Linked DNA regions of Arabidopsis thaliana. The protein of the gene in region 1 interacts with the protein of each later gene in a biochemical or structural test. Each region holds a gene or a part of one and is shown in the gene's direction. Other genes may lie near its edges.

The links.
Region 2: the proteins of KAPP (region 1) and CRK6 form a complex in vitro, tested with the Arabidopsis thaliana proteins (one study listed by BioGRID).
Region 3: the proteins of KAPP (region 1) and CLV1 form a complex in vitro, tested with the Arabidopsis thaliana proteins (4 studies listed by BioGRID, with this or other methods).

The regions. Positions count from the first base shown.
Region 1 is NC_003076.8:6,484,735-6,494,029, forward strand, and holds KAPP (kinase associated protein phosphatase), read left to right. Parts: upstream 1-3,584; 5' UTR 3,585-3,715; coding exon 3,716-3,859; intron 3,860-5,003; coding exon 5,004-5,193; intron 5,194-5,368; coding exon 5,369-5,569; intron 5,570-5,674; coding exon 5,675-5,850; intron 5,851-5,935; coding exon 5,936-6,094; intron 6,095-6,183; coding exon 6,184-6,327; intron 6,328-6,414; coding exon 6,415-6,476; intron 6,477-6,935; coding exon 6,936-7,074; intron 7,075-7,184; coding exon 7,185-7,279; intron 7,280-7,400; coding exon 7,401-7,430; intron 7,431-7,762; coding exon 7,763-7,878; intron 7,879-7,965; coding exon 7,966-8,098; intron 8,099-8,183; coding exon 8,184-8,238; intron 8,239-8,316; coding exon 8,317-8,448; 3' UTR 8,449-8,705; downstream 8,706-9,295. Other genes in the region: AT5G19270 (reverse transcriptase-like protein), read right to left, coding at 883-1,925, 2,221-2,275. UniProt on the Arabidopsis thaliana protein: Dephosphorylates the Ser/Thr receptor-like kinase RLK5. May function as a signaling component in a pathway involving RLK5. Binds and dephosphorylates CLAVATA1 (CLV1). Functions as a negative regulator of the CLV1 signaling in plant development.
Region 2 is NC_003075.7:12,118,565-12,125,704, forward strand, and holds CRK6 (cysteine-rich RLK (RECEPTOR-like protein kinase) 6), read left to right. Parts: upstream 1-2,818; 5' UTR 2,819-2,832; coding exon 2,833-3,676; intron 3,677-3,820; coding exon 3,821-3,955; intron 3,956-4,058; coding exon 4,059-4,180; intron 4,181-4,280; coding exon 4,281-4,491; intron 4,492-4,583; coding exon 4,584-4,821; intron 4,822-4,894; coding exon 4,895-5,063; intron 5,064-5,149; coding exon 5,150-5,473; 3' UTR 5,474-5,641; downstream 5,642-7,140. Other genes in the region: CRK5 (cysteine-rich RLK (RECEPTOR-like protein kinase) 5), read right to left, coding at 46-256, 346-467, 538-678, 754-1,570.
Region 3 is NC_003070.9:28,461,845-28,469,744, reverse strand, and holds CLV1 (Leucine-rich receptor-like protein kinase family protein), read left to right. Parts: upstream 1-2,773; 5' UTR 2,774-3,092; coding exon 3,093-5,682; intron 5,683-5,761; coding exon 5,762-6,114; 3' UTR 6,115-6,401; downstream 6,402-7,900. Other genes in the region: AT1G75810 (uncharacterized protein), read right to left, coding at 7,621-7,900.

The DNA.
Region 1 (9,295 bases):
CATTAAAGATATCCCACACATTAACAAAGAAGTTCTTACTAAATCCCTAAATCAAATCAATATAATGCATTCTTGCTCATCAAAATGCAACCCTCAAGAATTCAACATCTTTACGGTACAATAGGGAAGACAATGTCTAATGACTCTTCACATTTCATTGAACATATATAAGCAGAAAAATTTCAAACTATAGTTGCAGAAATTTCCAACCCGTATAAAGAAAAGAAAAAAATGAAACATTCAGGCTCATATGCAATAACAACGTCGAAATAATGAAATTTCAATCATCTACATGATCATGTAGTAGAGTGCTCTCAACCGTTGGATTAATTTATACATTTTCTATGTGTAAATGTGTATCATGATAGAAAAGGCACGCACCAATGGAACATCTGGGTAACGACGTAGCAATCAACCACATAATCGACGATCAACATTGAAATCTGAGTACGCGCGACTAACGAACGAAACGTTTAGGGTTTGCAAAATTGAAGGTTGAAGAGACGAAGAACGGAGACAACGTCATAGGGAACGGTTACGTGGTATTAATCTGAGCATCGGAATGTGAGCCATGTGACGACGTGGCCTCCTCTTCTCTTCCCGGAATCGCCATGGAAACAAAAATAAAATTTCTTGGAACGAACTAGCACATGTGCCACGTGTCACACTAGGCTTCTTACATTTTTTTTTTATAAAAATAATTAAACTGGAAAATGGAAAAACAAATAACAATTCATAAAAACTGTAAATTTAAAAATATATCTTCTTCGTCTTGATGATTATACATAAACATAACTTCCTTAAACAATTACTAGGTTTTTTTCTTTTTCTTGTTGCATGAAATATAAAATTGCAAAAACATAGTAAAAGAGAAACAAATTATCAATAAGAAAAACACCACGCCGGTCCAGCTTGAGCCTCCCTACAGAACCGATAATAAAGCCAGGCCGGTCCACCTTGCGGCTCATTATGGAACCGATTATAAAGCCAGGCCGGTCCACCTTGTGGCTTATTGAGTAAACCATTATGAAACCGGACCGGTCCACCTTGTGGCTCCCTACGGAACCGATTATAAAGCCATGCCGGTCCACCTTGCGGTTCATTACGGAACCGATTATAAAGCCAGGCCGGTCCACCTTGGAGCTCATTACGGAACTGATTATAAAGCCAGGCCAGTCCACCTTGCGACTCATTGCGTAACCCATTATGAAACCGGGCCGGTCCACCTTGTGGCTCACTACTTAACAGATCTTGAACCCAGTCCGGTCCACCTTCGTCCTCATCAGCACGTAACCGATTACGAAGCAACGCCAGTCCACGTTGCGCCTCACTACGTAACCGATTAAGAAGCCACACCGGTCCACCTTCAGAAAGGTACGGGTTAAAACGACCATCCCTTGTAACACTCTCCGCAATGTCCCGTGCAATGGAATTAGCAGGACAAGACACCAGCTCAAAGATGATAAAAGGAAATGATTGACAAGCTATGAAAATAGTATCGAGCCACATTGCATATCGAGGCCAATCCCGAGGATTATACAAGGCAGCAATTGCAGCTTGACAATCCGAAGAGATTATCACGTTTTGCAAACGAAGATCTCGTAAGCTTTTAACCACCCACAAGATACAACGCAACTCGGCCATGATCCTATTTGAAGACCTTGTAAAAGCATCTCTTGCATGGTATAGAGCCAAACCATTAACATCACGAGCAATCCAAGCTACCCCACTCATCATGTCAGCATTTCCCCAATGAGCATTCACATTACACTTAACAATTCCAAAGTCTGGAGGAGTCCAGTTAAGATCCAAGCTCGTCCCCCGAACAAAGCATGCGCCATATGTATCTATCTGTCGCGCATTAAGCCACCGTTCCTCTTCTTCAACCCCTATGGATCCTTGTACACTCAAATCCACATGTCTACCTGCAAGCAATTTATCATTTTTATTAAACAAATTAAAGATAAAATTTCTGAATTATTAGTTAGATACAAGTTACAAGAAAAATTGCAAAATTCTAGCTATCGTCTTTTTAAAAACAAACGTTAGACATTAGGCTAATTGTATAGTTTATGATAAAAGGACAACGACATCAAATTAAAAAGATTACAAAACTCATTAGCCATACAAAAGTTAAAAACTCACAAGAGTGTTAAACACAAAATTGACAAGAACCATATAGATTTAAATTGATATATCAAAGAGAGAAGGTTCAGTTACGATTTATGTGTCCTCTGTGATGAGCAATCATGACTTGAGAAGTAGACAATAGCATCGTCTCTTGAACCTTGTTTAAAGGTCTGACCGGCCGTTTTGTTAACCAACTGAAAGATTCTAACAACAAATTTTCTTATATATATGCTTTACCAATTGTTGTCTTTGAACAACCATAAAAAACAAAAAACAAATTGAGAGTTCTTAAATACACAAAATTGAGAAGGTAGTGAATGAAGACTATTATTATGTTACCAAATTATATATTCGTATATGTTTACCACATTTAAAGCATAGTCAATAAAAAATAAAAACGTTACCAAATGGATAATATATTGAAAGTTGATTAGTAAGTATCATTTATGTAATTTCCATCTCGTGTATGCATAATTGTATGCATATTGGTATTATAAATTCATATGGGACTTTAAAAATGGAGTAGTTGCATTTGTTGATAAAACAAAAGAAAATGGAAGTTCTCTCTGATTCAAGAATAAAGGTAACTGTAACATGTTTTATACTCACATAGACATTTTTGATTACTATGTTTTACAAGATTTTAGGAAAATGACTTGTGTGCGTGTGTGTGCTTGTCTGTTGCATAAAAGAGAAGAGCACAAGACTGATATTTACGATTGGTATATTAGAATGCATTATACATTCATGTTTAAATTTTACTGCATTAGGGATTACATTTTGTTATTTTTTGTGCTAACTAATTTATTTTGATTAGTAATCATTTATCACAACGGTAAGAAGTACTATTCCGTTATTTCTGTTACCCTACAAAAAGCAGTAAGCTTTTGATTAATAATCATATATCGCAATGGTAAGAAGTATACTGTTATTTCTCTTATCCAATTCCTGCTTTTGATTAGCAATCATATATTGCAATGATAAAAAATAATCGGATATTTTTTGTTACCAAATACATAAGGCGGTAAGATTAACAATGCCAAAACGTTACCATCGTTATTTTTGTACCTCTATATTATACCAATTTTTCTAGATGTTACTCGAAATACATCTAAACATAAATAAGTCATCTCGATCGAAAAACTTTTCATTAACAATGAGATTTCTAGAATCATATCTACATATCACTTAAGTCTTCAAAAACATAACCTTTTTCTTTACAAGATTCTTGATAATTCTAATCTATTTAATTTGTTTTTTTTCAAAAAATTAAAACCATAAATCAAGTGTAAAAAACAAAAAAAATCTCATAATCTATAGCGTAATCCACATATTAACCAATAGTAACTCGTGGAGGTGATAATTATATAGCTTAATCCAACCCTAGCCAATCATGTAAAGCGTTAGGGATAATGTACTCTTAGAGTCTATCGACCAGTGAAAATAAAAAGACAGTGAAAATACGATAAGAGAAAGAAAAAAAAAAAACAGAGAAGGTAAGAAAAATTCAAAGCGAGGTTCTCGGGAACCAATCTGGAAGGAGGAGGGGTGCAGAGAGAGAGAGAGAGAGAGAGAAGCGAAGACGATGGCGATGATAGGGATGAACATTATTGGGCTATTCATGGTTCTTATGTTGCTTCTCATCTCCCTCATCATCCTTTTCGCCTGCAAGCCATGGCGATATTTTTCTCGTTTCCGATCCTCCTCTCGTTTTTCTTCTACCTTCAAGGTTTCTTCTTCCTCTTCCTCTTATCTCATTCTCTATTCAATTTTCAGAGTCTTCGTTCCACGGCTTCGTTTTTTGATTTTTGATTCGATTTTATGTCGGATGGTTTGTTTTCGCGAAATGATCAATTGATAAAGGATTTGATCATCAGTGACAAGTGTTACGTCGCTGGATCATGATGCTTTTCTCGTGGATTCCGATAGTAGTTGGGGTTATTTGGCGATTTCGTTGATTGATTTTGTCGACGTGGGGGCGGTGAGATATATATTGTGTGTTTGGTTTCTGAAATAATCTGATTGACTTTTTGGAGATGATAATGTGTTGTTGAGTTTTCTCACTGTTGAAAAATTAGGATTCTTTTGTTGTTGTTAGATTCTTTTGAAGCTCAAGAGTTGATAGATTCGTTTGGTTTATAATGAGTGTGGCTGGATTTTCTCTGCCTGCTCGATTTGCACAAAATGGTTTTGTTTGAATAAAGCGTAATGGCCGTTTCAGCTTCTTTTGTGTGCTATGTTTTCTTCTTCTTCTCTAGCCATGGCTAATTGACATTTTCAACGGCTCAAACTGTTGATGTGCACTTAGACAGACATTGGAAGTAGGGAACTCTTGTGAATTTGCTTGCGAAAACTGTCGATTTGTTTCTGAATTTGGACATTGGTGCTTATATATTAGGCAATGTGAATGTTGCCAAGAACTCAGTTTCAGTGTGGGAAATTATCGTGGGAGAACTTCTTCCTCATTAGTTACCTTTTTGTAGGAATTCTGTGAGTTTTGTTTTTTTTGTATTTTTGTCTTTCTACCGGAGAAATGGTAACAAATGAATGAAAAAGGTGAAATCAGCTGTTCATTCATTTCCTAGCTCTGTTATACTCTACTCCTTACTAATCTAATAGGCGGTTTTACTCTCACTGGAAATAGGATACAGCTCATCCATCTAGTCTTTTCGCTTGTAGATTTCATTTGTTTGCAATTTCTCCATAACTTGGATAACATACTAAAATTGTATAAGAACTAAATCCACCTTATTATTACTACATTCTTCATATAGGGAAATATTGAGTTTCTCATCTTTCAGCTATTGAGTATCCAGTTTACGCAACTTTTTTTTTGCTCCTAGCCCTAATTCTTTCAGCGCCATTGTTTGCAGGTGGGGGATTTGCAGAGACCACTTATTTCTGATGATGGAAATTTGATCCAAGGACAAACCAGTGAGGTAACAAGGGAATATGATTTAGAGGGAGCTTGCTACCAAAATGATGGACTTTTGCATTCATCTCTGACTGAGGGACGGTTTTACAAACAAAGGCTTCCTTCGTCATCTCCCCATTTCTCCCAAGGTACTCATTGCCTCTTTCCTCCCCTGCTATGTCCAGCTCTGGTAGACAAGTTGGATTGACTCTAGATCATTAGCGTGATGGAAATGATACAGTTGTATCAGAAACATCCTCTTTGCATTATGAACTCTATGCATCACTCATTCTTGACCTTACCAATCTGCCCTAACTTATGTAGGTGAAAGCTTTGTTCTAGAAGTAATTTCTGAACCTTCTGACAATGCTTTGGTGGGCCAAACGCTTAAACTTCCAGCTGAAAAAGGTTCCTTGGCAGAAGTGCAAACATATGACTGGCAGAATAACAGAAATGAAAACTTGCAATATAATCTGGAAAAGGATCGACTTATTAATCTTTCTCCGAGGCTCGTGGAAGATCAAAGTAATTTCTTATTCTTTTGCTTGCCTAGGGTGTGTAATACAACTTCAATCCATTTTTTGAATTACTTGTGCAAGACATATATCATATTTTGTGTTAGAAGTGCAGGAAGTTGGCTGTTCCTGGAAGTCATCGCGGGTCCTGCCATTGGGCTTCAACATGCTGTGAACTCCACAAGTTCCTCCAAGCTGCCAGTGAAACTTGGAAGGGTTTCTCCTTCTGATTTGGCATTGAAGGACTCAGAAGTCTCTGGGAAACATGCACAGATAACATGGAACTCTACTGTAAGGAGCTATGTAGATTTATTTATACGACTTCTGCATGCCACTTCTTACACTGTGCGTCACACCTGCCTGGTTTTGATTTCAGAAATTTAAATGGGAGCTGGTAGATATGGGTAGCCTAAATGGAACTCTCGTAAACTCTCATTCAATAAGTCATCCTGATTTAGGCAGCCGGAAGTGGGGTAACCCTGTCGAGCTTGCAAGTGATGATATAATAACTTTGGGAACAACAACAAAGGTCTATGTAAGTCAATCTGAGTGGTGAAGGTGCTTGCTGGTAATTTTTTTTGTTTCCCTTGTTAATTTCATGCAATTTCTTTTCATCTTTGGAAGGTCCGTATCTCCTCTCAGAATGAGTTTCAGATACCCTTCAAAATTGGTGTGGCCTCAGATCCCATGGCTATGCGTCGAGGAGGCAGGAAACTTCCGATGGAAGATGTTTGTCATTACAAGTGGCCGCTTCCTGGGGCTAATAAGGTTACCTTGATTAGTGATTTGAGTTGTATGTATGATGATGGGCTTCGCTGCTTTTGATAACATAATTCCAAATGTATATGGTTTCAGTTTGGACTGTTTTGTGTTTGTGATGGACATGGGGGATCAGGGGCTGCTCAATCCGCAATCAAGTGAGTCTTTCTTAAAAAAATCCAAATCACCTCTATTAACTATTTCTTTTATAAAATCCTCCTCGATAGGTCTTATTTTGGGTTTTCTTTGTATGCTTAACCTACGAAATGTCCTAACCTGAAAAAGGCTGCGGTTTTGGCTGTGTTTAAACTTCTAACAGCATCCGCCTTTCTGAGTTTTTCTTTATTGTTTTTGCTTCATTTATTAATCAACTTCTTATGTAGTTTAAAATTTTTAGCTGCATGTGATTAGCCATGCAAATGTGTTACAGTTAGGGCAGGCGTGGTTACAGCCGGGAACAAATATATGAAACTTTGTTCTGTTCATTTTTGTAAATGGGCTTAGTCATTATATGTTAGGAGCCTTCACTAACTACTGGAGCATCTTTGATTTACTTGTGTCTCCAACAACGGCAATTATATACTTGAATATATAAGCTAATTAAACTTCTTCTCCAGAATTATTCCGGAGGTTCTAGCGAATATTTTATCAGACTCGCTGAGGAAGGAGAAAGTGTTATCAAAAAGGGATGCTTCGGACGTCCTTAGGGACATGTTTGCTAAAACAGAAGCTCGCCTCGAAGAACACCAATATGAGGTATTTCAGTTTGTCCTTTTCTTTTCCTTTGATGGCATGTTTGCCTTCTTGACGACTTGGCTGGAACTTTTTCATTGCTTCCTACTTAATGAATTAGTTGATCGATGCAGGGTTGTACAGCTACTGTTCTCTTGGTTTGGAAAGACAATGAAGAAAACTTCTTCGCACAATGTGCCAATCTTGGGGATTCAGCATGTGTTATCCAGTACGTAAAAAATATTATATTGCTATTCTTGAGATTCGTAGTTGCTGAGCTTGCATTAACCAGACTTGTAGCAGCATTTCTTGGTGTAGAAAGAGGGAGGGGACTTGATTACTCAGATTAGAAACAAAGATCTTGCGTGTTTAAAGCGTGAGTGAGTGTGGTCTTCTTAATGAAAACCTCTTGGTTTGGAAACAGTAGATGATTACTAATATAGGCTTTATAGTAGAGTAAATAGACATCAATAGATGAGATTGTTTCACGTCGGAGTAGAATTTTTTTGGATAAGAAAAAGAATATTTGAATGTCGTTGCTTTGCTTTGTGGAAATAGAAAGAGAGTTTATCCCTACATCTTCCTTGATACGGATCTTAATTAATAATAAAAAATTCTGATAGTTGTTTTGCTCTTAGGAATTAATGGTCTCGGCATTATAATAGTAACTTCGACTTTCTTAACTGATTACGATTTGGTTTGCATTTGGCAGTCTTGGTGGCAGATATATACAAATGACTGAAGATCATCGAGTGGTTAGCTTGAGCGAGAGAAAACGATTCCAAGAAGCAGGACTAGCCTTGAGAGATGGAGAGACTCGGCTTTTTGGTATTAGCTCAATGAATTAAACACGCTCAGGTGATTGCAACTTCTTTGTAACAAAATGACCAAATCTGATGTGATAATTTTCTTCAGGTATAAACCTTGCGAGGATGCTTGGAGACAAGTTTCCAAAGCAACAAGACAGCCGTTTCAGTGCAGAGCCATATATAAGTGAGCCTTTGCGTATCGATCAATCTAGTAAAGACGTATTTGCTGTATTGGCTAGGTAAAAAAACATAAACATAAACATAATAAGCTTTTTCCCGTTTTCTGATTCTTGCTCGCTAATTTTTGAAATCCGAATACTGCAGTGACGGGTTATGGGACGTGGTAAGTCCGAAGAAAGCTGTGCAGCTTGTACTTCAGGTAAAATCAATTTCTACTCGTTGAGACATTTGCTATGTCTGAAAACGTCGATCTCATGTAATGTTTATGTTATGGCAGATGAGAGATAAAGAGAGAGGGAGAGAGAGTAGTGCGGAGAAGATAGCAAACGGTCTGCTGAATGAAGCTAGAGCGATGCGTACAAAGGACAACACCTCCATTATTTACTTAGATTTCGATACTTCCCTGTAATGTTAGGAAACATCTTTTAAGATATTTGGGAAGTGTCTTTCTTTTGTGTACCATCTTTTTATGTATTAGTATTTTTGTTAGGGTATAAGAGAGACAAAAAAACCTCAGATGCAGAGATTTAGGATGGATCGTCTTGGTGAGCGACATTGGTTTCATTATCTTTACTTATATAATTAATAATATTATCAGTTAAAGTTTCTGTTTCGTATTTTATTCTTTGGTGAGAATGAATTTCATCAGACAATACAACTTATCAGTTTAGTATGGACTATGGAGTCCGTAATTCTGAGTATTCATTGGTACTTTTGGATTTCGATTTTGGTTTTTGATTTTAGTATCAATACGGTTATTCTAGAGTTTCGGTTCAGTTTTGTTCCAGCTATTTCAGTTTTGTTCTTTTTACGATGTGTACGCAGGCACCAAAATAATACTATTTTGACTGTTGTTCGGTTAGAAGTAGAAAGAAAATCACAGATTTTGTAATAAAAATCTGCCTATTTTCGGAATGAACACGTATACAATTTTGACTGATATATATGGAATGAACCAAAATAGTCAACAGTCAAGAATTTCAAGAGATTTTGGGATTCTTTCCTCAAGTAATCTTACTACCTAATCTGAGTTTTGACTCAATAAATTTTAGTTTAACTTCCGTTTTAAAAATTGGAGTTGTTGTTCAACCTTTTGCATCGTACTAAAACAAATTAAGAAAAACAGAACCCCAAAAAGATTTGAAATTGAAAACAAAGCGGGCCCAAAAATCAGGAGTAGTTCGAGCGTCCACACTAAAAGCATGTGTCCCAACAACACCAGATCCTATCCTCTCAATTTATGAAACGTCATTAAA
Region 2 (7,140 bases), on another chromosome or scaffold:
AACATGAGTTCCAAAAGGAAATATCTTTCCTAAGCTAAATCTTACCAAACAAGAAGTAATCAAGGCTTTTATTAGACACAAACTCGTAGACAAGTATTTTCTCTTCTCTCTCCAAACAAAATCCAAGAAGCTTGACCAGATTTCTGTGCTGAAGCTTTGCCACAACAACAACTTCGTTCTTGAACTCTTTCTCACCTTGTCCTGATGTTTTCGATAGTCTCTTCACGGCAACTTGTACTCCATTAGGAAGTGTGCCCTAAAAAGATTGTGAATTAAACAGAGCCATCCCCTTATTTGATCCTCTTATGCAAGTAACAAGGAAACTCAATGAACCGGTAGTAGTACCTTGTAAACTTGTCCAAATCCACCTTGACCGAGTTTGTTACACATCGAAAACTTATCTGTTGCAGCTTCAATAACCTTGAAATCAAACTGCAGTGACCCTGCAGTTGTGATGTCATCCTCTTCTGCAAAATATTTAAGAATTCAAATCCATAAAAGTTTAAGCAACGGACACATAGATTTTGGAATCTTTACCATCATTTGCACCTGGTGTATCATAAGTCTTCTTTGCTCTCTTTGATGCATGGAAGCTAAAAACAGCTACACAAATAAGAACTGAGATAGCGACTGGCACAACAATTGCTATGATTATCACTGTAGAATTTTTGCCTTTTCCTGCATAAGTCTTAGATTAGACATGAACTAAAACCAAACTAACTATTAGGTAAATAAATAAAACAGAGCTCTAACCAGGCGGAAAGGAAGGAGTTGAAACCAGTGGCAGTGGAGGAGCCGAAACCGGCGGAGGAAGAACAGTTCCCTCTATAGTTTCCTTGTAAAAGGGGTAAACCTCGTACCTTGAGTTACAACTTGGGACAAGAAATCTTCCTCCAACTTTGTTGAAATATAATTCTTTGATGGATTGTTGAAGACACATTACACAATCTTCACTAGTCAGATCAGGAATGCACTGAACCGATGCATAAAGCGACTGAGACGAACTGAAATCCGACTTCTTAACCGCGAATTTCTTGCTTGTACTATTAGCCGCTTCCTCTGCAGACTTTTTCATCAGAGAAAGCACTGCATCATTAAACCGGTCAGATTGGTCCGCCGTAACTTTCTGAGTGTTCCAAGTGATTATTGTAGTTGTGGTTACAGTATCCATGAATATATTCCTGTCTGAGTATCCAAGCATGCACTCATCATACTGAATCAAGAACTCTTTCCCACCTGGACATCGACTCCGAGTGTCTTTAGCAGCAAAGATGACGCACTCACGGCAAGATTCTGGCGAGAGATCTCCTTTGCAGAGATAAAGTCCGAACACCATGTCGGAGTTTTGACCCTTTGTGAGACTATGAGATCCCAAAGAGAAGTAAGCATTGTTAGAAGAAAGAGAGGTCAAAAGTGTTTGGAGATTTGAGAAGTAAATGGAGTTTCTTGATATCCTGTTAGTACAAACATGGCCAACGTAAGTAGGGTCTTGTAATTGTGCAGAAACTCTCAAGCTTCCAATGAAGAAGGTTAGAAGGAAGAGAAAGTTTAATGAGGTATAAGCAGACATTATCCAATTTCTTCACCTTTCTTCTCTGTTTTTTTTTTCTTACTTTTAATGATTGGTTTATGAGTACTAATGAATGAATGTGAAACCAGCCAAGCCAGTCAAATTTTGGTTTTTGTAAAATAATACAATATCTTGCAAGTCAAGGTCAACTAGACGAGTAACATCAACTTGTATTGATGTTAACTAAAATGAATCAACTATAAAAATGTTAGAATAAACATGTGAAAGCGAAAACCAGAGAAAATACAATTATAAATTTTTAAGTTTTCATGAATCTGTTTCCGGAAAAAGATGAACCTATTGGAGTTGGATATTTAATAGGTTTGTGATTATTCAGCAAGCCGCGGAGACTTTGGGTCAATAAGACAACACCGTTTTACTTCCTTACCAAAGAAGTAACAAACGAACAGTTACAAGTTAAAACAGTAACTTCCCAAACCCTAGTTGCTTCAGTTTCTAGCCTTCACTGCTTCATCAAACCAATCAACACTCTTAGTGGAAGGTTGACTCTAAAGATTGTCGTTGACTTCATATTTTAGTACTTTTCCTTCTGAACTTTACAACTGTGTATAAGAATTTTAGAGTCATTTTGGGAAACAAAGAACTGAAACTTGCCTACTTACATCATTTCATCTCTCTGTTCCTCACAAACTCTCTTGCTTCTGCAGAAAACCGTACTTACTTATCACATCTCTGTTCCAACAAAACAAACTGATTGTGTAAGAATCAGCAGATAAGCCATTAATTCTCTGCACCCTTTTGTTTTCACTCTCTAGTAAATAAAATTCTAGACAAGAGTATCTTACACTTACTTGTCAGGCACTAAAATATTATGAAACAAAAATGGAAGTAATTTAACTAAGAAAAATCGAAGCTTGACCGAAATTCTGCGTTAAGCTTTGCTACAACAAGAATCTCATTCTTGAATTCCTTTTGTTTCTAATACCAAGTTGTAGTAGGCTAGTGGTTCCCAACTTTTAAGGAGCTCCCGTTTATACACTCATTATTGGGCTCAACTGGTGATATGTGGATCACTGATCAAATAACTAAATTTTGATTCAAATTCAAGTTAATTTTAACGTGGGCTTTTCCCAAATAAAAATATATGTTGTTTAAGAGAAATGACAATAATAAGAAAAAGAATCATTTACTTTGACTTGTTGACTCTTATAGTCACCACAACCCATCTTATACTACACGCTAGTGATCAGCTTATAAATGGGAGCTCTATGATGTGAAACTCAAATCAAGGTACTCAAACAATGTCTTCTCTTATATCTTTCAACTTCCTTTTCCTTTTCTCATTCCTCACTAGCTCCTTCACAGCTTCTGCTCAAGATCCTTTTTACTTAAATCATTATTGTCCAAATACGACAACTTACTCAAGTAACAGCACTTACTCCACCAATCTCAGAACCCTTTTGTCCTCTCTATCTTCACGTAACGCCTCTTACTCCACCGGATTCCAAAACGCCACTGCAGGAAAAGCCCCCGACAGAGTCACCGGACTTTTCCTTTGCCGCGGAGACGTCTCACCGGAAGTTTGCCGTAACTGCGTAGCCTTTTCTGTCAATCAAACCTTAAATCTTTGTCCCAAGGTAAGAGAAGCCGTGTTTTACTACGAGCAATGTATACTCAGATATTCTCACAAGAATATTCTATCGACGGCCATTACAAACGAAGGAGAATTTATCTTGAGTAACACCAACACTATTTCTCCTAATCAAAAACAAATAGACGGGTTCACAAGTTTTGTTTCCTCCACGATGAGTGAAGCTGCCGGTAAAGCAGCCAACAGTTCTAGAAAATTATATACGGTGAATACCGAATTGACCGCATACCAGAATTTGTACGGGCTGCTTCAGTGCACTCCTGATCTTACAAGAGCAGACTGCTTGAGTTGTTTGCAAAGTTCCATCAATGGAATGGCTCTTTCCAGAATAGGAGCAAGACTTTACTGGCCGAGTTGTACTGCAAGGTACGAGCTTTACCCGTTCTACAATGAAAGCGCCATTGAAACACCACCACTACCACCACCACCACCACCACCACCACCGAGGGAGTCGTTGGTGTCTACTCCTCCGATATCATCTTCTTCATTACCTGGTGAACTCATTCTCCGTCCTCTCTTTTTATTTCCCCTGCTTTCTTGAAATACTAGTAGGGAAAGTTTTGTTGTTTTGATTAATTTTTGTATTTTTATACTCTGTGGCATTATCTGATCTTAAGCCAATGATCTTTAAAAAGCAGGGAAAAGTGGGAACTCAACAGTGTTAGTGGTAGCCGTTGTTGTGCTGGCTGTTCTGCTTTTCATAGCTTTAGTTGGTTATTGTTTCCTTGCAAAAAAGAAAAAGAAGACTTTTGACACAGCATCTGCATCGGAGGGTAAAGATTACTAACAATCTTAATTAGGTTTGATATATTAGTGGTCGTCATTCATCAGCCTCTTTAGCTGATTACTAAGACATTTGTTCTGTTTATTGTGCAGTAGGAGATGATATGGCAACCGCAGACTCACTACAGCTCGACTATAGAACAATCCAAACTGCAACAAATGATTTTGCAGAGAGTAATAAGATTGGTCGAGGTGGTTTTGGTGAGGTTTACAAGGTATACTATAATATCTTCAAGTACACCCTAGGTTAAGTACTTCGTATTGATTCTTTGATTGGATAACGAGATGATGCTGATTAAAAAGTTAAACGGATAGGGTACATTTTCAAATGGGAAAGAAGTTGCGGTGAAGAGATTGTCGAAAAATTCAAGACAAGGCGAAGCGGAGTTCAAGACCGAGGTTGTTGTAGTTGCCAAGCTTCAACACAGAAATTTGGTTAGGCTTCTTGGATTTTCATTACAAGGAGAGGAAAGAATTTTGGTCTACGAGTATATGCCTAACAAAAGCCTTGATTGCTTACTATTTGGTCTGTTGCATTTCAATGATTCTTTGACCATTAATCTTGAAACTTGGGGTTGCTAATCTCAAGATTTAACTGTAATCCATGGATTTGCACAGACCCTACAAAGCAAATTCAGCTGGACTGGATGCAGCGATACAATATCATTGGAGGAATTGCTCGGGGGATTCTATATCTTCATCAAGATTCACGGCTCACAATCATACACCGTGACCTTAAAGCAAGTAACATTCTCCTAGATGCGGATATAAATCCGAAAATTGCAGATTTTGGAATGGCTAGGATCTTTGGATTGGACCAAACCCAAGATAACACAAGCAGAATAGTTGGTACCTAGTAAGTCTTCCACTTAACATCTCATAACTTATAATATGTTGAACATTTTACATTGCCAACATATACACTAAAGTTTTGTTGTGGATTCCAGCGGTTACATGGCTCCTGAATATGCGATGCATGGCCAATTCTCAATGAAATCTGATGTCTATAGCTTCGGAGTGTTAGTTCTTGAGATTATAAGTGGTAGGAAGAATAGCAGCTTCGGCGAGTCAGACGGTGCACAAGACTTGCTCACACATGTAAGTTTTAAGACAATCAATATATACCTCTCTTACATTACATTAAGTAATGTTAGCTAGAACTGATTGCTTGATTGGTATTCAAGGCTTGGAGGCTTTGGACTAACAAAAAAGCATTAGACCTCGTGGATCCACTTATAGCAGAGAATTGCCAGAATAGTGAAGTGGTTCGATGCATCCATATCGGTCTTTTATGTGTTCAAGAAGATCCTGCAAAGCGTCCGGCAATATCAACCGTTTTCATGATGCTCACTAGTAATACTGTGACCTTACCAGTGCCTCGGCAACCAGGGTTTTTCATTCAATGTAGAGCCGTAAAGGACCCGCTTGATTCAGATCAGTCTACCACGACCAAGTCTTTTCCAGCGTCTATTGATGATGAATCGATCACAGATTTATATCCGCGCTAAATATGACCTTAAACTTCATGCTTGTAATCAAGCTTACGCAAATGTTTACATATTTGTAGAATTGTGGATGTGATCAACCCTAATAATTTTTTAGTTTTGATTTGGTTTGTTAAAACCATATGTATTTTGTTTTGATTTTTTAATAATGAATAATTAGTCTAGTCTCAACATCACCACCGATTGAAAAAAATGAGAGAGGGAGAGAACACTTGGAATGTTGGCATTACAGTTTGGTTCATTTTAAAAATTTGGGCAATCCAAAAGCTATAACTTTGGAGTTCATTTCAGCGTCTAAGAGCCAAGAGGATATATACCTGCTTTGAAGTCACAATGTATGGTTATGATCTTGAATCATTCTAGAATCGCTTTAGCAATACCTCCAATGATCTTGTACCATTTGATTTGGAAACAGAGACTAAACAGAGTACAGTGGGAAGGTGATTTACATGATTTGTAATGTGGTGAAGTAAATGAAATGTGAACTATCTATCACGTCAAAAGTTTTTTTTTTTTTTTTCTTGTTGTAAAGTAAACTAATAACTAATACAATATTTTGAAAGACAAAGTCATCTACACGAGGAATTTAAATGTTAGACTAATAAAACATGTGGAAGAGATAACCAGAGAAAATAGAATTACAAAATTCCAGGTTTTGACGTCTATCAATCTATTTCCGAGAAAAATAAAAAATATTGGGTTTGAATATTATTTAATAAGTTGATGACTATTCTGCTTGGCGCCGAAACTTTGGGTCAATAAGACAGCACCGTTAGACTTCCTTACCATACAAGTAACAAACGGAACAGTTATTAAGTTAAAACAGTCATTTCGCAACCCTAGTTGATTCAGTTTGTAGCCTTATTTAGAATCAGCACCAATCAACGCGCTCAGTGGAAGGTTCGCCTACAAAGAAATAGGCTTTGATTTTTAGAGTCTTTTTTTTTGGAAACAAGGAACTTTACAAATATGCCTAGACTTATATCACTCACATCTCTTTTCATACCTTCTGCACTTTTTCCTATAAATTATTTTTCAATTTTTTTTATATAAAATATTTTCATACATCTAGATGGATCCTTCACAACTTTTGAGATTATTTTGTTATTGTTTTATGGATTTTGATATTCTTCATAAAATTTAAGTTTTATTAATTTTCATGATTTTTAAACTCCATTAAAAATTGTGTTATTCAAAGGCTTAAGTTTCATTAAAATATATATTGTTTGTAAAATTTTATTCATAAAACAAAAAAAAAAAACTGTGGATATCCTTTACAATATTAAAATTATTCTATAACTACAATACTCTCTACAATCTTAAAAATCTCTCATTTCTTGAAAGTTGAAACCAAACTCCCATATTATTTAAGAGGTGGAGAAACAATGATTAAGTTTTTGGGTTTTGCTCAACAAATGTTTTTTTGGATCAATGATCCAAAGATTCCAAACACTAAACTCAACGTCTTCTTCCAATAACTTTTACTTTTGTTGTTAATAAAAATGACATAAAAAAGATTAATCGTATACAGTACATTGAGTTTGATTGACGACTGACTTTAAAGTCGTAACAAACCACCGTATATTTCACGTTAATCAAATAATCAGCACTAGTCAGAGAGAGAATATAATTTGTCAGTTTATAAATGGAAGCTGCATAATGTGAAACTC
Region 3 (7,900 bases), on another chromosome or scaffold:
ACCAGTTTCCAAGACGGATTTGTGTAAGACCACTTATGACACAAGTTTGTCTTCACTATCATCATCTTCTTCTTCTACTTCTACTACTACTTTTGTAGCCTTGTCGTTTTTATCATTAACATGATTGACAAGACTATGACCTATATATCTTATTATTATCATTGCTCTCTCTATTTGTTTATATTGATTATTACTTTTTGAGATTTTTCAATGGTTTTATCTCTAACTAAACATTATAATTAGTGAAACAAGCTTAGTAGAAGTAAAAGTATTATTCTATGCTAAAGTACATTGATTAGTAGAGTGTGTAATTGTGTATACAGATAATCTATAAACAATTGGTGCATCTGTATATAAAACTTTATGATTTATTTATTGTATTTAATAAGTATATGAATTGGGTACCTAACTTTCTAAACAGTTCCAAATTTATTCTTAAATCAAATTGCATATGATTTTTAAATATTTTGAGACGATTTTATTATAACGCAAACAACAGAGTAAAAGAAGCATATGTTGCAAATTGTACTATGGCAAGTTCAAATCGAAACATTTTTGTGAAAATCAAACATGTGAACCAAGCTTCTACAGTTTAATTCCCTTTCGTATAATTTAATTTCAACAAATTTATTGATATCCATCTAGAAATTGGTCCAAAGTTCTTTCACCCTTGAGTCATTTAGTGATAAAGATGACATGATTTTTGGTGATAAATTTTCCATCGTTGCTATATGTCGTTATATTATTCTCCTATATGTATATTATACTATTTACATCAGAAAATAATCCAAAGTTTAGAGATTCTTTTTTACAATAATAAAATTTCCCACTTACTAAAAAGAGCTCCTTTTCTGCTGAAGAGAACCTAAACCTTTATTCCCAAAGTTCATTGAGTTAGAGCATTTTCAGCGAATCACATAAGAGATGCTCTCTTCTTCATCACTAATTGACATCTCATTGTTTTAAAGGTTGCACTTGTACCTGTTGATCTGATTCTCAATCCACTTAAGTTAAACCAAATAGACACGAGAAAAAAGCACATTTATTTGTTGCTAAGTATGCATATTTTTCAGCGTTTACTTCTTAATCTAATGTATATCATAAGATAATATCTAAAAGAGAATGCACAAAAGATTATTAATATGAGAAATTCGCTGCCATTTAGGAAGGACCTTTATACCAATATACCGCAATAATAATAGAACATTGGTCCCCAAGTGTATGTCAACCCCAAGTGTATAGATTTCTTTAAAGATTAAAATCCCTTTTTGTTGCTAAAGCACCTGATATATTTTTCTATCAAACTAAAAAAATTGTTAGCGGGATGAAGATATATTCGCCAAGAACCATAGTGCTTGTATAACGGCAGACCATTAATTCACAACTATTATTATTTTATTGTTAGATTGTTGATAGAATCGATTTTGATTGTGGCAGAATCGATCTTGTAAAAACTGCTTTAAGGTGCTTACTTATAATTAAGAAAGATTCACTTATGTAAGTTAAGCATATTAATCATATCATTCGGCCTAATTCATTAGGAATATTTTGCTATTCGTTTTGCCATCATTAACAACAAAATTGACACGTTTTCAGCCAAAAGTATTAACAACTAAACCTAAAACTTCAAACATTAAATAGTTTTTAGTATCTTTAGTTTCAAACTAGTGATTTGTCCTAATATCAACACTACGAACGAATTTATATACATTGAACTTTTTTCTGAATCACCGATTACAAAACGAATATAATTTGGTATCGGCAGTTGCTATTAATTTGATCGGTTTGGACTTTGGACTAATCACGATCAAATCTTAAATGGACCGAAGTGAATAAATCCCTAATGTTTTCAAGAGAGTCACACGAACGAAACAAAGGTAAAATATGAACATAGAGCGTGGGGACCTTGAAGCAGAAGGTCTGTATGGTGACAGACCGGTGAGTGGAGTGTATGAATGAACGAGAAGTGAGAAGACAAAATACAAGAAAGAGCGTTGACTTGGAAGTTAAAGCCAAAAAAACCACAAGGGGCAAATTTGTCTCTTTAGGAAAAGGACACAGACAGACTTTCTATACGGGCCAATTAGAAAAATAGGCCCTACTTCTAATTAAAGCCCATTTACTTCTCTCCTTGTCTTCTTATTCCTCTTTTCTCCCCATCACGTGACGACGATGCTATAAACGCCGTCGGATTATATAACTGGTGCCGTTGACAAGACGGCGACAGAAGAAAGAAAGAAGAAACCACAGGCTCTAGGGAACGTAACGTTATGTCCTGTCTATAGCATTTATAACGGTCAGATCAACGCCGTTTAGATAAAGATCTGTCAATGTTAAAGAAGAGATGCATCTCTACACCGTTAAATTTAAAACGCCGTGAACCTCTTATCTATTGATTTTTGTTTGATGAAGCCAAAACAAATCGTGTCAGAAGACTTATCAGAGAAGAAGAAAACGACGACGTTCCCGTTTCTCCATGTCTAATAAGTGTAGTAGTGGCGGCTACTAAAAACTCTAAAGTTTGACTCCAGTAAAACTGCCTTTCTAGTGTAATTCCAGTGATTTTAGAGTTTGAATAGTGTGTGACCAAATTTGAAAGTACAATCTCAGCAATATTATTGATCACTCGTTATAAAAGAATCGAATGTAAAAATAGCCAATGAGAGACTGAGACGTATGTGTTTGACCATAAGTCGTATAGTTTGTATCTATCTACCTGCAAGATCAGCAGATGGTTCTCTGATCAATTGTACCTTAATTATCTTTTATTTTCGTAAAATTTCTCTATTCACAAATGATAAATCTACTTAAGACAGTAACCATAACAAGATTTACAAGATAATTTGAAAAATGAACACATAAAAGTATTTTGGCGCATTATTTTTAATAATAACAATATTTATGTAAAGTCACATAAAAGTATATATTCGCTCACAAAGTCTTACGGTATTTAGAACAGTAGTACCACATCGATTCTCTTCATCTTCTTCTTCATAATATGCCATTGTTCATGTCTCTGTGTCCTATCGCATAACACTCACGCTATCTTATTATTTTCTCTCGCTCTTTCTCACTGAGAGGACACTAAAAAAATGGCGATGAGACTTTTGAAGACTCATCTTCTGTTTCTGCATCTGTATCTATTTTTCTCACCATGTTTCGCTTACACTGACATGGAAGTTCTTCTCAATCTCAAATCCTCCATGATTGGTCCTAAAGGACACGGTCTCCACGACTGGATTCACTCATCTTCTCCGGATGCTCACTGTTCTTTCTCCGGCGTCTCATGTGACGACGATGCTCGTGTTATCTCTCTCAACGTCTCCTTCACTCCTTTGTTTGGTACAATCTCACCAGAGATTGGGATGTTGACTCATTTGGTGAATCTAACTTTAGCTGCCAACAACTTCACCGGTGAATTACCATTGGAGATGAAGAGTCTAACTTCTCTCAAGGTTTTGAATATCTCCAACAATGGTAACCTTACTGGAACATTCCCTGGAGAGATTTTAAAAGCTATGGTTGATCTTGAAGTTCTTGACACTTATAACAACAATTTCAACGGTAAGTTACCACCGGAGATGTCAGAGCTTAAGAAGCTTAAATACCTCTCTTTCGGTGGAAATTTCTTCAGCGGAGAGATTCCAGAGAGTTATGGAGATATTCAAAGCTTAGAGTATCTTGGTCTCAACGGAGCTGGACTCTCCGGTAAATCTCCGGCGTTTCTTTCCCGCCTCAAGAACTTAAGAGAAATGTATATTGGCTACTACAACAGCTACACCGGTGGTGTTCCACCGGAGTTCGGTGGTTTAACAAAGCTTGAGATCCTCGACATGGCGAGCTGTACACTCACCGGAGAGATTCCGACGAGTTTAAGTAACCTGAAACATCTACATACTCTGTTTCTTCACATCAACAACTTAACCGGTCATATACCACCGGAGCTTTCCGGTTTAGTCAGCTTGAAATCTCTCGATTTATCAATCAATCAGTTAACCGGAGAAATCCCTCAAAGCTTCATCAATCTCGGAAACATTACTCTAATCAATCTCTTCAGAAACAATCTCTACGGACAAATACCAGAGGCCATCGGAGAATTACCAAAACTCGAAGTCTTCGAAGTATGGGAGAACAATTTCACGTTACAATTACCGGCGAATCTTGGCCGGAACGGGAATCTAATAAAGCTTGATGTCTCTGATAATCATCTCACCGGACTTATCCCCAAGGACTTATGCAGAGGTGAGAAATTAGAGATGTTAATTCTCTCTAACAACTTCTTCTTTGGTCCAATTCCAGAAGAGCTTGGTAAATGCAAATCCTTAACCAAAATCAGAATCGTTAAGAATCTTCTCAACGGCACTGTTCCGGCGGGGCTTTTCAATCTACCGTTAGTTACGATTATCGAACTCACTGATAATTTCTTCTCCGGTGAACTTCCGGTAACGATGTCCGGCGATGTTCTCGATCAGATTTACCTCTCTAACAACTGGTTTTCCGGCGAGATTCCACCTGCGATTGGTAATTTCCCCAATCTACAGACTCTATTCTTAGATCGGAACCGATTTCGCGGCAACATTCCGAGAGAAATCTTCGAATTGAAGCATTTATCGAGGATCAACACAAGTGCGAACAACATCACCGGCGGTATTCCAGATTCAATCTCTCGCTGCTCAACTTTAATCTCCGTCGATCTCAGCCGTAACCGAATCAACGGAGAAATCCCTAAAGGGATCAACAACGTGAAAAACTTAGGAACTCTAAATATCTCCGGTAATCAATTAACCGGTTCAATCCCTACCGGAATCGGAAACATGACGAGTTTAACAACTCTCGATCTCTCTTTCAACGATCTCTCCGGTAGAGTACCACTCGGTGGTCAATTCTTGGTGTTCAACGAAACTTCCTTCGCCGGAAACACTTACCTCTGTCTCCCTCACCGTGTCTCTTGTCCAACACGGCCAGGACAAACCTCCGATCACAATCACACGGCGTTGTTCTCACCGTCAAGGATCGTAATCACGGTTATCGCAGCGATCACCGGTTTGATCCTAATCAGTGTAGCGATTCGTCAGATGAATAAGAAGAAGAACCAGAAATCTCTCGCCTGGAAACTAACCGCCTTCCAGAAACTAGATTTCAAATCTGAAGACGTTCTCGAGTGTCTTAAAGAAGAGAACATAATCGGTAAAGGCGGAGCTGGAATTGTCTACCGTGGATCAATGCCAAACAACGTAGACGTCGCGATTAAACGACTCGTTGGCCGTGGGACCGGGAGGAGCGATCATGGATTCACGGCGGAGATTCAAACTTTGGGGAGAATCCGCCACCGTCACATAGTGAGACTTCTTGGTTACGTAGCGAACAAGGATACGAATCTCCTTCTTTATGAGTACATGCCTAATGGAAGCCTTGGAGAGCTTTTGCATGGATCTAAAGGTGGTCATCTTCAATGGGAGACGAGACATAGAGTAGCCGTGGAAGCTGCAAAGGGCTTGTGTTATCTTCACCATGATTGTTCACCATTGATCTTGCATAGAGATGTTAAGTCCAATAACATTCTTTTGGACTCTGATTTTGAAGCCCATGTTGCTGATTTTGGGCTTGCTAAGTTCTTAGTTGATGGTGCTGCTTCTGAGTGTATGTCTTCAATTGCTGGCTCTTATGGATACATCGCCCCAGGTTAGTTACATGTCAACAACATTAGTACTCACCAAAATGATATATGTTCTGATTATCATTTTGTTTTTGGTTTGCATAGAGTATGCATATACCTTGAAAGTGGACGAGAAGAGTGATGTGTATAGTTTCGGAGTGGTTTTGTTGGAGTTAATAGCTGGGAAGAAACCTGTTGGTGAATTTGGAGAAGGAGTGGATATAGTTAGGTGGGTGAGGAACACGGAAGAGGAGATAACTCAGCCATCGGATGCTGCTATTGTTGTTGCGATTGTTGACCCGAGGTTGACTGGTTACCCGTTGACAAGTGTGATTCATGTGTTCAAGATCGCAATGATGTGTGTGGAGGAAGAAGCCGCGGCAAGGCCTACGATGAGGGAAGTTGTGCACATGCTCACTAACCCTCCTAAATCCGTGGCGAACTTGATCGCGTTCTGACCCAAGCAAGATAAATATGAAAATAAGATGCGAAATGTGGTGATCATTTTTTGGGTGTTCTTATTTATGGTTTCTAATACTTTCGGGTTTGTATATTTGTTGTGTTTCAATTTGTATATTACCTCTTTATGTGTTATTATCTCGAGTATGTAATGTAATCAATATGCTTATTGCTTGATGGCTTTAAACTTTAGCTAATTCTCCGTTCAGAGTGTATAAAATAAAAGAATGTGAGAGCTTTGACCTCTGGATTTAAGTCTAGACTGTTTAGAATATGTGAATTAGGGTCATATCTAAATTCAGGTTTGTGTTAGCTTCCGACAGTGTCATGTTGCAATCTTGACCTTACTTACAAAGTATTTACCAGCAGATGGCTCGGAAAATAAAAAGGAAACACATCTGATAAAAAAAAACACGGAATCAACAGACTAATGGTTGATTAAGAGATTGGACTCGTACTCTGCATTTGGAATAATGACCAGTTTCATTGAGTTCTTGGGGGTCATTCACTTCTCATATTTTTACGAGCTAAGAAAATCACCTCAGGGTCATAACATTGTAGTTTCTGCTCTTGAAGCAAAACACACATAAACTAAGAAACCGGAAAAATTCACAGAAATCAACAACCAAGAAGCTTTAAAAGTTCATGAACAACAGAATTCAACCTCTATAATGTGCATTTTCCCACAAGATGAGGATGATGCTGTGAAGCTAATTCTATCCATAACTCTTACCTCCATTCATAGAGCAATTCAGAGAAGAAGACAAGGCACATAGTCACAACTTATAAACGGGTGTGAGAAGAAGACAAGGCAAATTAGTCACAAATTCATTAAGGTAGAGAAACAAGATCCTTCATTACTCTGTTTTAGTCTCTTCATTAAGAATCATATACAATTTAAATCACAAAACTTTCAAGGCCACAATCTTGATTAACTTGGAAAGACCTGAGTTTCATTCAGATTTAAACAACACTGCAGCTCTCAAAATTCAAAATCGATTGTATAAAGAAAACAAGAACATCTATCATCATCATAATCACTATCCGATTTTACAACATATCAATACAAACAAAAACCTCCCAGCTTACACGAAGAAGAACATCATTACCTTATTCCTTAACTCCGAACACATGTTATTTAGATTACTCTGTTTTAGTCTCTTCATTAAGAATCCCCCAAAATTCTCAATGCCACAATCCTCATTCAGTGGTAAGACTCGAGTATCAACATTCAAATTTGGATAACAGTGCAGCTCTTAAATTCAAAATCCATTTTTACTTTTAAAAACAAGAACATCATATCTATAATCATCACAATCACTATCCGATTTTACAACATATCAATACAAACAAAAACCTTCCAACTTACAAGAAGAAGAACACCATTACCTTATTCCTCATCATCATCTATTACACAGAAAATCTATGAGAAACGTATATATCTAACACATGTTATCTACTTCACAAAAGTCAAAATAAAGAGGGAAAATTCGAAGTTTATATACTCAGAAAGCACCGTAAGGTATATGTTGTGGAAGCCTAAATCGAACCTGTGAAGCCGGAGACCGAACCGCAACGCCGTGCCAGCAAATCCCTCCTTTACAAATCGCACCACCGTCGTGATGGTGACGGTGGTGGCTAAGATCTTCCTCACCACCAACACGATTGTACCGAGAAACCGCCTCCGCTGCTCTACGAGACACATCCCAAGCAAGCGTAACTGCAAGCAAAACACCAACTGCCGTAATCGAAACGACGACGACGAATCCAGCGCTGAAACTCCTC